Linked DNA regions of Rhinolophus ferrumequinum. The protein of the gene in region 2 interacts with the protein of the main gene of each other region in a pairwise test. Links are inferred from orthologs where the notes say so. Each region holds a gene or a part of one and is shown on either strand. Other genes may lie near its edges.

Region 1 (7,439 bases), on a different chromosome or scaffold from region 2:
GGTGTTAGGCTGATATTTAGCCCTGTGCCTGGACCTGGTATTGGACTCTTCCCTGGGCCACGATCTGATACTGGCCTCTTCTCTAGCCCAGAAGGAAGACATCGTAGAGGTCTCATCTGCTGACCAGAATCCAGATTCATTAGAGCCCTCCGCTCTGGCCCTGGGCCTGGGATAGCACCAAGACCCAGTATCAGTTTCCTCCCCTGATCCAAACCAGGGTTGGATTCCCATCTGACCCTGAGAACCAGGAAAGATCTCAGCATCCACCCTGAGCTGTTCCCTATCTACAGATAGGGACATAGGTTTAGCACCTGACCCACACTCAGTACTGAGCAGTGGCCAGGCTTCTGCATTGGTCTGGGGCATGCCCTCTGTTTGGGACATTGCCTGAGCCCCAAACTCAGTCTGGGCCCAAGCCTGGGCTTCTTCCTTGTGCCTTGGCCCAGTGATTGCCTTGGCCTCAGTTTTAGAACATGCCCTACCTACTGCCCTGGCCTCTGTTTTTGGCCTTGCCCCAGACATTCTCTGGGCTTCACTTCTGGACCTTGCCACAGCCATTACTTGGGAATCAGTTTGGAGCCCTGACCCAGCCATCACCTGGGACTCCGTTTCAGGCGTTGCCCCATTCATAGCCTTGGATGCAGTTTTGGGCCTTGCCCCAGGCATTACCTGGGCCTGGGTCCTAACCTTGGGTCTGACCACCATCGGGACTTCGTTCTCTCTCTCAGCCCCACCTGCAACCTCTTCTCTAGCCTTCTTTTCAGCCTTGGCCTGGGCACCAGGCTCAATCTCAGCCCCAGTCATAATACCAGTTACAGAGAAGAGGCAGTTAAATACCAGTAACACAGTCCCCGCCTCTACCACAATTCTGTATCTTCACACTGATCTTCCAGTGATTCAGGCGATACAATTGGAAGAGAGTCAATCACCAGTCCAGCAGCCAACCAGCCTCCTTCCCAAGACCAGCCTCAGCCAATATCACAGACAGAGTGCCAAAGAGGCACAACCAAGCAGGGGGAGGATGGATGGTTCCCAAGTGGGTGCAGACCTGTTGAGGGTGGTGGTCAGCAGCAATTCCAGCACCATCAGAGATGCCACTGGAGGTGGATCTAGGGAGAGAGAAGGACATGGGGCCTTGAGCCTCTTGGAACTGTGTCACTCCATGTAGAGACTCACACAGAGACTGGACCTTGAATTCCTGGTGGAGCTGTTGGGCCATTAGAAAGTCTCTCTGTCACATTCATTTTGCCCACAACTGCCACACTATTTGGCCTGCCACCAAACAGGTGTGAGATTTGTGGGAAAGTATGTTGGCAATGAGAGAGGTTGAGGAGTCCTGAAACTAGACCCTAATTACTGTTGTGACTGCACTGGTCTCCACTATCCGACCCGAAGTTTACCCATCTCATACCAACCTTCTCTGATGTGGTGCAATTTCCCACTCCGTGCTTCATTCCAGGGGTACCAATTACACCCTAGAGCAGAAGGGTGTTCCATGGACAAGCAAACGCACAGGAAAAAATGGAGTCTGAGGGTTTGGTTGACAGGCAGACACCCTGACCCCTGATGCAAATATCTCTCTTTCTGTTTAAGGGTCCAATTTGTCTAACGTTTCCTGTCTCCTGGTCCCTGATCTCAGGTCTTCTCCTCCGATTCACAGCCCAATTCGCACCTACCCCAATATTCGTAATATCTCCTGCAGGAAATGGACAAGGAATGCTGGGACAGTGTGCAAATCTGGCAGAGAGCAGGAGAGGTGAATCAAAGACCTGCCATGATCTTACTCTGTCGCTATCCCCTGCATTTCCCCCTTCACACCAACCTCCAGAGAATTGAGCCAGTCTCTTCCTCCTTTCCTTCCTTGCAGAAGTGACCAGTCTTAAAGTAAGCCTAGGGACAAACGGATGAAAAGAAAGACAGTCAGAAGACCATGGTAACAACTGAGCACTTGGTGGACAGACCAACACCAATGATGGGAGTCCACATGTGATCTGTCTTTCAACATTTAAGGTCTTCTAGGTAGAACGTTCTCGTTTTACTAAGGCCCTCTGTTTCAGGGTTCCAGATAACGACATCTTTTCTTGACGTCAGTCTTCTCATTGCTGCCGTATTCCAATTCTGAGGATTCACCACTAGGTGCACCACATCCCTTTGCCTTGGGCAGCATAAAATGGGGGAAGGGAGCCTGCATATTATAGAAAACAGGTTGTGCAGTGGTACTTGTAACTGTGACTTCCGTCTCACCCTCGCCTCCGATCCCATCTTTTCCTACCCCCAGTTAGGGATGGAGGTAAGGGAGGAAGCCAAGGGAAGTGCCTAGGAACTGGTACGGAGGGAAATTTTAGGATTTATTCCTGGATGCCTAACCCGCTCTGGTCATAGTCACCCAACCCCAATTCGTGTCTCCAGTCAATGGCGGCTGCCCACCCCCCATCCCCACACACCTCCAGAAATCCAGGCTATTTTCCTGCTCCAACTTTTTCTCAAGCAGCTCCGCAGCAGATGCACCCCGCCACCTGAAATCGCCAACCTACCACGCAGACGGGAGACTTTGGCACCAAAGAGGCGCCTGTGGGAAGGGACAGCCCCCAGGACGCGGGGCCCAACAGACCCTTTCCAGAATCAGGGCCCGGAATAGCCAACGCCCCCGCCCCGGCGCCCCCATCTCTGCTCCGGCTCCACCATTTCTCCCGCACCAGCCTCCCCCACAGCCATCTCCGGGAAAGCTGGCTGTGGAGAGGCCGGCGTGGATAGCTTCCCCCAGGAGCCCAGGGAGCATCTGAGGCCACCCCTGGGCCCTGGACCCTGGGTCCGGCCCGCACCCGTCGCCGCCGCAACCTCAGCGCAGGGCTCCCCGGCGTTGCGCACCTCTCTCAGGAACCGGCTTCGACCCTGTAGCCGCCTCCGCCTCTTCGCTGGGCTGCCTGGGACTGGGCGCGGGTGTAAGCTGGTCGAGAGTGTGGACCCACCCCGCCCCATGCACCCCCACTTGCCTTTCCAGGCTCGGGGCCCGGGTGGCCGGCCTCCCCTCCTCTCGGACCTCCTCGGAGTCCCACCGCCTTGCGCGCGCATCAAATTGCAAAGAGGCGTCCCGCCCTTCGCTCCGCTGCACCAAACACGGCAGGGGGTGCGCAGGATGCGGCACGAACCGCTGGCTGGGGGTGTAGGGAAAGCGGGGCGGAGGGAGACCGGACGAATGGGCTCGACGACCCCTCCCCTGCCAGACGCCCCGCAGTTCCGACCCGGAGGGGGCGGGGCCGGGAAGAGCCCCAGCGCATGGGGCGAATTAACGCCCGCCAATCGGGCTCTAAGGACCTCCGCGGCCCCCTGCCGGGTACCCCCTACAACATTTCCGGTTCTACAATCTACGGGCAGCGCGGGCGGGGGTGGGGGAGCATGTTCGCTAGGTCAGGAGCAGCTTCGCTGCGTGTGGATACAAAGCGCCCCTAGGTGTATATGAACCCCCAGAGTGCTGGGTTCTACCCACCTCCCTCCTGCCGTCTCACTTCTGGACGCTGCTGGGAGAGGGGCTGTGAGAATGCTGCCCGGATGGGGAGAGGCCATCTAAAGCTAGACCGACCCTGAAGTCCTGAGGTGCCCCCCCAAGTTCTTTCATTGTTTGGGGGGTCAGGGAGGACAGGAAGTGGTGGGGTCTGCCATGGAGGCCTCACCACTGCCCCTCTTCTAAAGGCAGACCTAGACCTCTAACCCTAGGAGAGAATCCACTGCTCTGTACCCAGATTCATCCTTGCTGCCACACTGCTTTTTTTCACATTCGAAATAGTAACACGTGTTGCCATTTTGTGGTCCCCACAGTGCCCTAGAAAGAGGGCCTTTCCCTGTCTGGACCCGCACCGGGTCATAGAATTCTCCCTGTGTGTGGCCTCACATCCAAGTAAGTGTCAGGCATCAGATAGGGTCGCTCCGGGTTCCTCTTCCTCTGTTCTATCAAGTCTTGTCTTACAATCCCATCCAAGCTCTCATGATTTTTGGCACTGTGGAAATGTGGCAGGGATTAGAAGCATTTTAGGTCTCGGCCACTTGCCGTAAGCACCTATCCAGTTTGCCCAGTCATTCCTTGGAGAAAGCTGCATCATGCACACACTTCCCCAAGACAGCCCTGGTGGGGTTTGTTTTTTTGTTTTTGTATTTTTTTTTAGGAATTAGAAATATCTTCATGAACTGACATGGTAAAATCACAAAAGCATATTTCTAAATAAAAAAGAATGGTACAAAGTAATAAATATGTTACGGTAACATTTGTGTAAAAAGGTGAGAATTTTATGTGTAAAATTTCTCTGGAAGGATACTAAAACTGATACAACTTTAGGATACTAAAGTTGATTCTAGGGAAGTAAGGTGACTGGGAAAAAGAGTGGGAAGGAGAGAATCTTTTTTTTTAATTATTTTTTAAATTTATTGGGGTGACAATTGTTAGTAAAAGGAGAGGATCTTTTAAACGTTTAAAATTAGAACCACAGGATGTTACCTAATCAAAAATAAGAAAATAAAAACGAAAGGGCGGTCAGATACTAGGTTAAAAGAAAAAATATATAAGAGGTATCATTCATGTCATCCATCCTTACCTCTAGATCAAAGATGAAATGCTACTGGAGTCTTTTTGATTTTGGTACAGTGAGTGGTTTCAGACCGTGATTTAGTTTAAAAATCTAAAGTGCCGAGATTTGAGAATGCCAAGAACAATTTCCTAATATAAAAAAAGGGAAGAATGCTATACGATTAATGTATTTCTTGGTTCAGGTCTTCCTTAGGAAGAGAAATGCAGGAACAAAATAAAAACCTAAAGGTGGATGGAAACTGGTCATAGAAAACCAGAAGACAGCATCTTTCAGGAAAGAAGTATAAAAATTAAAGAACATCAGCTCAGAAAAGTAGGTTTTTCAGAGGCTTGGGGAACTGGTAGGATTAATACAATGGAAAGAATATATAAAAATACAGTTACCCAAATTAACTTGGATGCTTTTTAAATAGGCATCTCTGTGGGTACAAAGTTTACCAACATACAGGAAAGATAACAAGATACCAGACTGGCTAAACTCTGAATTTTAAGGTAACAAAATGGAAACAAGTCAAAAAGAAAAAATCAGGCCAGATTATTGAATTGGAAGGTAGAGAAACAGTATAGTTGAATAAGGTTAAAAAAGTTAACTCTAATACAGAAAATAAAAACAGCCAATCAAACCAACAGGGTTTTTTTTTTGTCAGCATCTACTAAATGTTCAGTATTATGCTGTACAACTTTTCTTTAAGTTTGCTTTTGAGTTTTTCAAGAGCATATAAAATTGTAAATTAGGAAATCCAAGAAAAGCGTTTTTCCCAGATAATAAAGAGAAAACATCATAATCAATAACCACAAAAAGGCAATAACTTTTACGGTTCACTTTACCTCTTTTACGAACCTCCAACCCTCATTAATCGCCTCTTTTTAATGCCAAAGTCAACTGTTGTTAACCAATATGAAGTCCATAGGCAACACTGGGTAGGAAATAAAACAAGGGAAGAAAAGGACCCTAAAGTGTTTTAAAAAGTAAGATGTATCCAAAAACCATATGAGGACTGGCATCTTAGGAAATGTTAAAAGATTTCTATAAATAACAATAATAGCTAATATTTGAGTGCTATATACCATGAATTTTATAATATTCTGGGCACTGTGCCAAGTACTTTGCATAAATTAACTTATTCCTCCTCATAAAACCTAAGGGACAAAAAACATATATATATATATATATATATTTATGTAATTTTATATATATATATATGATTTAACAAATGACAACAAGGGTGCTAGAAGTTACAGGAGTTATCCAAGGTCACACGGCATCTTTTTTTTTTTAATTAAAGTTTAGTAAAGTTACATAGATTTCAGGTATACAATTATGTATTACATCATCTATAAATCACATTGTGTGTTCACCACCCAGGTTCAGTTCTCCTTCTATCACCATATATTTGATCCCCTTTACCTTCATCCACCACCCCCGCCCTCACCAACTGATAACCACTAAACTATTGTCTGTGTCTATGAGTTTTTGTTTCTCATTTGTTTGTCTTGTTCTTTTGTTGTTTTTGGTTTATATACCATATATCACTGAAATCATATGGTTCTCTGCTTTTTCAATCTGACTTATTTCGCTTAGCATTATAACCTCAAGGTCCATCCATGTTGTCACAAATGGTCCTATTTCATCTTTTCTTACCGCCGAATACTATTCTATTGTGTATATATACCACAACTTCTTTATCCATTCATCTATTGAAGGACATTTTGATTGTTTCCATATCTTGGCCACCGTAAATAAAGCTGCAATGAACACTGGAGCACACGTGTCTTTATGCATAAATGTTTTCAGATTCTTTTGGTAGATACCCAGTAGAGGGATTGCTGGGTCATATGGTAATTCTATTCGTAATTTTTTGAGGAACCTCCACACTGCCTTCCATAGCGGCTGCACCAGTTTGCATTCCCACCAACAGTGTATGAGGGTTCCTTTTTCTCCACGGCCTCTCCAACACTTGTTACTATTTTTCTTGTTGATGATAGCCATTCTGACTGGGGTGAGGTGATATCTCATTGTGGTTTTTATTTGCATTTCTCTGATGATTAGTGATGTTGAGCATTTCTTCATATGTCTATTTGCCATTTGTATGTCCTCTTTGGAGAAATGTCTCTTCAGGTCGTCTACCCATTTTTCAATTGGGTTGTTTGTTTTTTTGTTGTTGAGTTTCATGAGCTCCTTGTATATTTTGGATATTAGCCCCTTATCAGAGGCACTGTTTGAAAAAATCTCCCATTCAGTTGGTTGCCTCTTTATTTTGTTGATGGTTTCTTTGCTGTGCAGAAGCTTTTAAGTTTCATATAGTCCCATTCACTTGTTTCAGCTTTTACTTCCCTTGACTTTGGAGTCAAATTCATAAAATGCTCTTTGAACCCAAAGGTCCATAAGTTTAGTACCTATGTTTTCTTCTATGCAGTTTATTGTGTCAAGACTTATGCTTAAGTATTTGATCCATTTTGAATTAGTTTTGGTACATTGTGACAGATAGCAGTCTAGTTTCGTTCTTTTGCACGTGGCTTTCCAATTCTCCCAGCACCATTTATTGAAGAGGCTGTCTTTCCTCTATTGTATGTTTTTAGCTTCCTTGTCAAAAATTCTCTGTCCATATTTATGTGGTTTTTTTCTGCATTCTCAATTCTATTCCATTGGTCTATCTATGTGTCTGTTTTCCTGCCAATACCATGCTGTTTTGATTACTGTTGCCCTGTAGTACAAGCTAAAGTCAGGGAGTGTGATACCTCCAGCATTGTTCTTTTTTCTTAAGATTGCTTTGGCTATTCGGGGTCTTTTGTGGTTCCAAACAAATCTGATGATTTTTTGTTCTATTTCTTTAAAAAATGCCATTGGGGTTTCGATGGG
Region 2 (7,422 bases):
CATCCTTTAATTTACAAATGCAAGACACATACTCTCCAGTGTCAAAAATAACACCTAATAATTATGCCAAATCATATTATCAATCCACTCACAAATTCAGAGACAACAGGTATGAAAAAGAAAAGTTAGGTTGCTGTGCATGTCTCAAAACTAAATTTAAACTCAGATCCCACATTCCGAACACAATTCACTCACAAAACTTGATATGTCACCTTTCAACCTGTGAAAGTAATTAGCCTCCATGCAGGGCCACCTGTCAAAATGAACATTTCTATTCCTGGTCAATTTGTTCTCCTGAATGAACTTGATCATGTTCGTGATTAATATCAACCCTAGATATGTAGAACCCAGGGGAGTTAAAGCACCTACCGCATTCAGGCAGCTGACTGCAGGGAGCTGTCTGGACCTCTAGAAATGGAACCACCTGGGTTAGGGGAGGAGGCAAAATGGGAAACCCCAAAGAGCAGTGGGAGGAAATGTACACAGTAGCTCAAATCCGGGACAATCCCAATCTCCAGGACACACGTCACAGAATACCGCAGCTGGAAGGGTTCCCACATGTCGGCCCATGCAGCCCCTCCCCACGGGCAGACCCCCCACTAAATTCCCCACAGTGTCACCCAACACTAACTCAAATGTTTCCAATGGCAAAAAGCTCACTGCCTTTCTAGGCGGCCTGTTCAACAACTTTTTTTTTAGCAAGTTTCCCTCTAAGTTAACTCAAAAATTGATACAGTACCAGTGTGTGGCTCTAATTCTAATTAGAGCCAAGGAGGTACTCTATAAATGCTGAACAAATGAACAGTCAATGAACGAATGGACAGACAAAAGGAACTGCTTGAAATTTTAAGTTTTTAAGAGCCATGATGGCTCAAGAAAATAAATCGAAAGGATTTGGTTCCATTCACCTCATGTTTCTTAAGCAGGATGAATTACGCAGGACTATGGAATAAAGCGTGGCTTGATGGAAGCAGCTCCAAGTAAGAGGACTCAGACTCTAATACGCGGTCTCCTGCTGTATCCCTCACTTTTCACACCTGTAAAATAAGCAGGCCAGACTCTGAAGGTCTTGCTTTCAGTTAGTAAAAATCGGCCACCCTGTGAAGCGCAATAAAGTGAAGCACCATGAAACAAGGTACGTGGCATATAGTTGTCAGCAGCTGCACTTGGGAAATGCACTTGATGCCACACCTGCCAGAACTCCTGACTCTATCCTTAATCGTTAGGTGACCTGGGGGGCGGGGAGGGGGTGCCGGGAAGCAGTAATCCTGAATCTCAGCTTTGGGGGATGGGGAATGAGGATTATAAATCCCTATCTCACAAAGGTTTGGGGAGGGTGTCATCCAAGGAATTCCCTAGCACCTTGTAAACTCTGCAAACTTGCCAATGTTAACATTCCCTCCTGGAAGCAGTGACTCACTTCAGGGTGCTTTCACACCTCTAACCTCACCGGATCCTAGGCAGCTCTATCAGTACCAAAAGCCGTAATTACTCTCCCCATTTTTCTTTTATCTTCTTTGTAAACAGATGAGGAAACTGAGGCTCAAGGTCACAGAGCTCAGAAAGCCAATCCAGGCATCTTTTCACTCAGTGACAGATTTCTCAACTGAACCTCAAAGGACTTCCTGTGCTATGCCTGAATGGAATAAAATGAAATTTCTTTTAAAACACTCTGCTAATCATACTTTCATCAAATCAAACTGGTATTTCCGTATCATCCCAAATTATTTAGATTTGGCTTAGTAAAAATAGTAACTAAGGTTACTTAGAACTTACCCTTTCTCTCAGGCACTTGACTAATGTGTCACATCCAGACACATTTAAAACACACAACAACTCTATGTGGTAGGAACTGTCATTGTCCCCATTTTACAAATGGGGAAACTGAGGCACGACTACATCCAGGATTGAGATGCAGGCTGACTGTCCCCAAACCCCAATCATCTTAGGGCTCTAGTATTATCCAAATCCCATTTTCCAAATGGCCATACATTCTGCAAAGTGCTTCCATACACACCAGACCTATGGGACAGGGTCACCCGTGTTCTCACACGTCTCAGGAAACCGAGGATAAGGGATAAGGGAGCGGCTAAGGGATGTGTCTGAAGTTACCTAGCAAGGACAGCAGAGGAGCGCTCGGGACGCCAAATCTCATTGTCTGCCGCAAGTCTCAGGTTCCTTTGCATACGTGTTAACGGTGAGATGGTAGGAGACGTCCCGTCATTCTTGAAAAGCAACCATCCCCTTACTGGCCTCAGTGTCAACGCAAAGTTGACAGCGTGACCCGGCCCTGTCTCCTGCGCCCGGTGCGGGTTACCGTCGCCGAGTCAGAAGTGGGTCTGGGGCCGAGGGCGAGCCGGACGGGCCCTGCCCCTCGGGTGGACGGTGAGGGCGCACGGCCCCGGGAGGCTCGGGCGGCGCGGGGTCCCGGGTCTGATCCAAATTCCCGCACGCCCCTGCCGCCTTCCTTGCCCACCAGTACCCGCCACGGGGGCGTGTCGGACGTGCCTCTCGCCAGGGTCTCAGCACCCACCTGGCTCAGTTCGGCGTGGGCTGGTCGTCCCAGACCCCCCTTCTCTCCCAACTCCGCGCGCCACGTGCCCTGCCTCAGTTTCCCTCTCCTCGAAAGGGGTGCACCGAAGCCAAGGTGCTAACAGAGGCACAGCTCAGACCTACACGGTTTCCAGGGGGCGGCGCGCGCCCTCCCCGCCCGGATCCCGGACCCCGGCCCCGCCCAGCCGCGCTGACAGCGACCTACCTGCGCGGTGGCCCCCGCCGCCACCCGCCGGGGCGCCCTGGGGTCCCCCGGCCCGCATGTGTCCCGCCGGATCCTCCAGCTCCGCGGCGGCGGGCGGCTCTGTGCGCCCGAGGCCAGCGCCGGGGCGCGAGCGCCGGGAGGGACGGGAAGTGGGGAGGGGGCGGGCGCGCGGGCCGGCGGCGTCCCCCTCCCCCGCTGGCCCTGCGGCTCCGTTTCCAGCCTCCTTTCCTTTCACACGGGCGCGCACACACGCACGCACGCGCGCACACACGCGCGCGCCTGGGGCGGGGCCGGTGGGCCCACAGCCTGTCTCCGGACGCTGCAAGTTTGCTGTTCACTCCGGCTCATTTCTGGACGACGACCAGAGGGGAAGTGCGGTGGGGGAACCGGTGTCCAGGGAAGGAGCGACGGGAGGCCTTCCGGGTGGGTGTACAGGGCGCCTCCCAGATGCGAGATTAGGGAAGTGACCAAAGGGTGGACGGAAGAGAGGAGGGGACGAGAGGGACTGGTTTTTACAAGATGGGTAGTTGACTGAAACCTGGAGCAAGAGGTGACCTACCACATGAAGTGGCAATGCCAGCACTGCCGTGGTATGCTGTAGAGGAAGTGTCAGAGGCCTGGGGAGTTGGAATGTTAGAGGGGTTATCATGTAAGTAAGACTGCTTACCCACTCCAGGAGGGTGCGGACCACACACCCTTCACCAGGACTCTGAGAAATAACTTGTGGCCCAGCACCCTTGGTCACTCTTCTCTGTAGGTCAGAAATTACAGTGGAAACTGTGGCCTCTGAACTGGAATCCTTAAATGCAGTGGGGATAATTGGTTCCAGGATGGCAGGGGCCAAATGGTGGCAATGAATCACCAAAGGCAAGGGGGACATGGTGTCTGTAATGGATGGCAGAGTCAAAGCAGCCATCAGATTGGTGACTCCTGCAGACCGGCCAAGTTGGCAAGCCAGTCTATGCTGCTCCTAGAAGTCAAACAGCTGGGAAATCTACTAGCTCGTACTTAGTCTGTGTAAGCAGAAAAGTTCTAGGTCAAGTGAATGAAAGCCTGACTTGAATTCCCACACAGAGAGATTCGGCCCTTCAATCAGTTCCCAGACTAGAGTCAGTTTACAGACCAAAAATTAATTAATGGAAATGTTGGCCTCCTTGAGGAAAGACACTGCCAAAAATTTACACTGTTAATCTCTTCTCTAGCCTTCCCCAAAGGGTTGTGGCCTTTTACCAGGGTGGCTGTGCATTGGAGAAAAAGGAATTACTCAGACTTTTCAAGAATTACCAGACATTGGCTCTGAACTGACACTAATTCCAGGAGACCCAAAACATCCCTGTGGCCCACCAGTCAGTCGGGCCTTATGGAGGTCAGGTGTTCACAGGAGTTTGAGCTCAGGTTCGTCTCACAGGGGGTCCCTGCACCCATCCTGTGGTTACTTCCCCATTCCAGAGTGCATAATTGGATAGTACTGAGCAACTGGCAGAATCCCCAAATTGGTCCCCTGACCTGTGGAGTAGGGGCTATTGTGGTGAGAAAGACAAAGTGAAGCCGTTACAACTGCCTTCACCTAGGAAAAGACTCAACCAAAAGAAATCCTACATTCCAAGAGGGACTGAAGAGACTGGTGCCACCGTCAAGGACGTGGAGGACGCAGGGTGGTGATCCCCACTACATCCCCGCTCAACTTGTCTGTGTGGCCTGTGCAGGACACACATGATTCCTGGAGAATGACAGTGGGTTGTCATCAACTTAACCAGATTGCAAGTGCTACTCCAGATGTGGTTTCACTGTGTGAGCAAATGAACACCTCCCCTCATACCTGGTGTGCAGCTATTGATCTAGCAAATGTTTCTTTCCCTACCTATTAGGCCACCAGAAAAGCAGCTTTCTTTCAGCTGGCAAGACCAGCAATACACTTTTACCATCCTACCTCCGGGGTGCCACAACTCTCCAGCCCTAGGTCATCATTTAGTCAAGCAAGACCTTATCGCCTTCCCTTCCACAAGACTTCACACTGGTCTGTCACATTAATGACATTATTCTGATTGGACGGAGTCAGCACGAAGTAATAACTACTCTAGGCTGATTGGTGAGACATTTGTATGTCAGAGGGTGGAAAATAAGTCTGACAAGAATTTAGGGGCCTCCATGCCAGTGGATTTTCTAGTGGTTGAGTGGTGTGGGGCAGCCCTTCTAAGGTGAAGTATAAGTTGTTGTATGTGCCCTGCCTACAACCAAAAAAAGGAAGAACAACGGCTAATGGTGCCCCGTGGGTTTTGGTAGCAACATATTCCTCACCTGGGTGAGCTACTCAAGTCCATTCACCAAGCGACCTGAAAAGCTGCTGGTGTTGAGTGGGGCCCAGAATAAGAGAAGGCTCTGCAGCAGGTCTGGCTGCCATGCCAGCTGCTCTGCCTTTTGGGGCAGAGGACCCAGCAGATCCAGTGGTGCTTGAAGTGTCAGGGGTACTAGAGACGCTAAGGGAGGATTTGTCAGGCCCGTATGTGTGAATCATATCACAGGCCCTTAGGATTTTGGAGCAAAGCCTCTGTGGATAACTACTCTCATTTAGAGACTGTTAGCCATGAACTTTTAACCATGTACCACCACGTTACCATGCTACCTGGGCTGCCCAGTATGAACTGGGTGCTGCCTGACCCAAAGTGGTAAACTTAGGCATGCGCAGTGGCCCTCTATCATCAAATAGAAGCGGTAGATACGAGATCAGGCTCAAGCAGACCCTGAAGTCACAAGTAAGTTGCAGAAGGACGTGGCCCACATGCCCACGGTCTCCACTCCTGCTACATCACCTTCTTTTGCCCAGCCTGCACCTGTGGCCTCACGGGGAGGTCCCTATGACTAGTCGATTGAGGAAGAGAAAAGGCAGGCGCAGTTTACAAATGGTCCCGCACAATAATCAGGCGCCACCCAAGAGTGGACGGCCACAGCACTGCAGCCCCTTTCTGGGACATCCCTGAAAGACCGTAGTAAAGGAGAACCCTCCCAGTGGGTAGATCTTGGAGCAGTGAACCTTGTTGTTTGGTTTGCTTGAAAGAAAAAATAGCCAGAGGTACAAGTGTGTGACAGTTCATGGACTATGGCTAATGTGGCTGGATGGTCAGGAGTTTGAAAGGAACATGATCGGAAAACTGGTGACAAGGAGATTTGAGGAAGAGGCGTGTGGATAGACCTCTCTGACTGGGCAAAACAACCTGAGGATATTTGTGTCCCTTGTGAATGTTCACCAAGGGGTGACTCAGCAGAGGAGGGTTTTAAGCAGAAGGATGACCTGTCCTGTGGGTACCAGTCTCTTTCCCCAGCCAGTCCTGACACTGCCCAATGGGCTCAAGAACAAGTGGCCATGGTGGCAGGGACAGGAGTGATGCATGGGCTCAGCTACACACATTCCACTCACAAGGCCAACCTGACTATGGCCACTGCTGCGTGTCCAATCTGTCAGCAGCTGAGACCAGCAGCATGGCACCATTGCCCAGGGTGACCAGCCAGTTTGCTGCGTGGTGGCAGGTTGATTCCATGAGAACACTTCCATCATGGAAGGGCAGCGTTCTGTTCTTACTGGAACTGACACTAATGACTGAGTACAGATTTTCTCTCTCTACACACAACGCTTTGGCCAAAACTACCATCCATGGACTTACGGAATGCCTTATCCACACAGCATTGTTTCTGATCAAGAAACTCACTTCACAGTGAAGGAAGTGTAGTGATGGACCTATGCTCACAAAATTCACTGGTCTTACCATGTTCCCTAATTTCCTGAGCAAGTGGTTTGATAGAACAATGGAATGGCCTTTTGAGGACTCAGTCACAGTGCCAGCTAGGCGCAATACCTTGCAGGAGGCTCCCTGTACATGCTCTGAATCACTGTCCAATATAAGGTGCTGTTTCTCCCATAGCCAGGATTCAGGGGTCCAGGAACCAAGAGATGGAGATGGGAGTGGACCACTCACTCTTAGCCCTCATGATCCACTCGCAAAAGTTTTGCTTCCTGTTCCCACAACTTTATGTCCTGCTGGCCTAGAGGTATTGGTTCCAAAGGGAGGGATGCTTCCACCAACAGGCACACAATGATTCCATTTAACTGGAAGTTGAGACCGCCACCTGACAACCCAGGCTCTCCACCAGATGCTGGACTGCACGCCCGCAGGGCAGCAACCTTCCTTCCACAACCTCTACACCAGCGCCTTTCACAGCCCTACTCTCTCAGCTGGAGACGCGTAGCTTCCAGGTTTCCTGCAGCTCCAGCTCAGCCACCCATGTCATTCTGGTTAAAGATCTTTCTCAGATTCTTCAACCACCCTCTTTAGACTTTTGCTTCCGCAGCATCTCCCACAATTGTGAAAGGCCTAACTTCTATAATATGTGCCTTATGCACAACTCACAGTGGTTCTGCTTCTCCAATGGAACGCCCACTTACAGACCTACTCATTGCAGATCTCTGGCATGGCTACTACACAAGTCTTTCTTTAGTTTTCTGACAGCTCTCATTCCAGCGCAATGCCGTATTAATCAGGACTCTTTTCATTGCAACTCAACAAAACCAGTAGACTTTAATTTAAGTGAAAAGAATATTGGTGAGGATACAGGGGACTCTGGGGGAGTCCACAGGCATCATGGAGCCACTGCTCTAGGAAGATGAGAGG

What was found. The genes of interacting proteins can lie anywhere in the genome.
Region 1: the proteins of DISC1 (region 2) and GPRASP2 interact in a two-hybrid assay, tested with the Homo sapiens proteins (2 studies listed by BioGRID and IntAct). The link is inferred for Rhinolophus ferrumequinum from reciprocal best matches to the Homo sapiens genes DISC1 and GPRASP2.

The regions. Positions count from the first base shown.
Region 1 is NC_046284.1:52,045,954-52,053,392, forward strand, and holds the start of GPRASP2 (G-protein coupled receptor-associated sorting protein 2), read right to left. Parts: upstream 3,009-7,439; 5' UTR 2,869-3,008; intron 2,531-2,868; 5' UTR 2,445-2,530; intron 1,891-2,444; 5' UTR 1,823-1,890; intron 1,738-1,822; 5' UTR 1,677-1,737; intron 1,476-1,676; 5' UTR 1,416-1,475; intron 1,110-1,415; 5' UTR 805-1,109; coding exon 1-804. UniProt on the Homo sapiens protein: May play a role in regulation of a variety of G-protein coupled receptors.
Region 2 is NC_046310.1:25,365,187-25,372,608, forward strand, and holds the start of DISC1 (disrupted in schizophrenia 1 protein), read right to left. Parts: upstream 3,014-7,422; 5' UTR 2,817-3,013; coding exon 2,759-2,816; intron 1-2,758. UniProt on the Homo sapiens protein: Involved in the regulation of multiple aspects of embryonic and adult neurogenesis. Required for neural progenitor proliferation in the ventrical/subventrical zone during embryonic brain development and in the adult dentate gyrus of the hippocampus.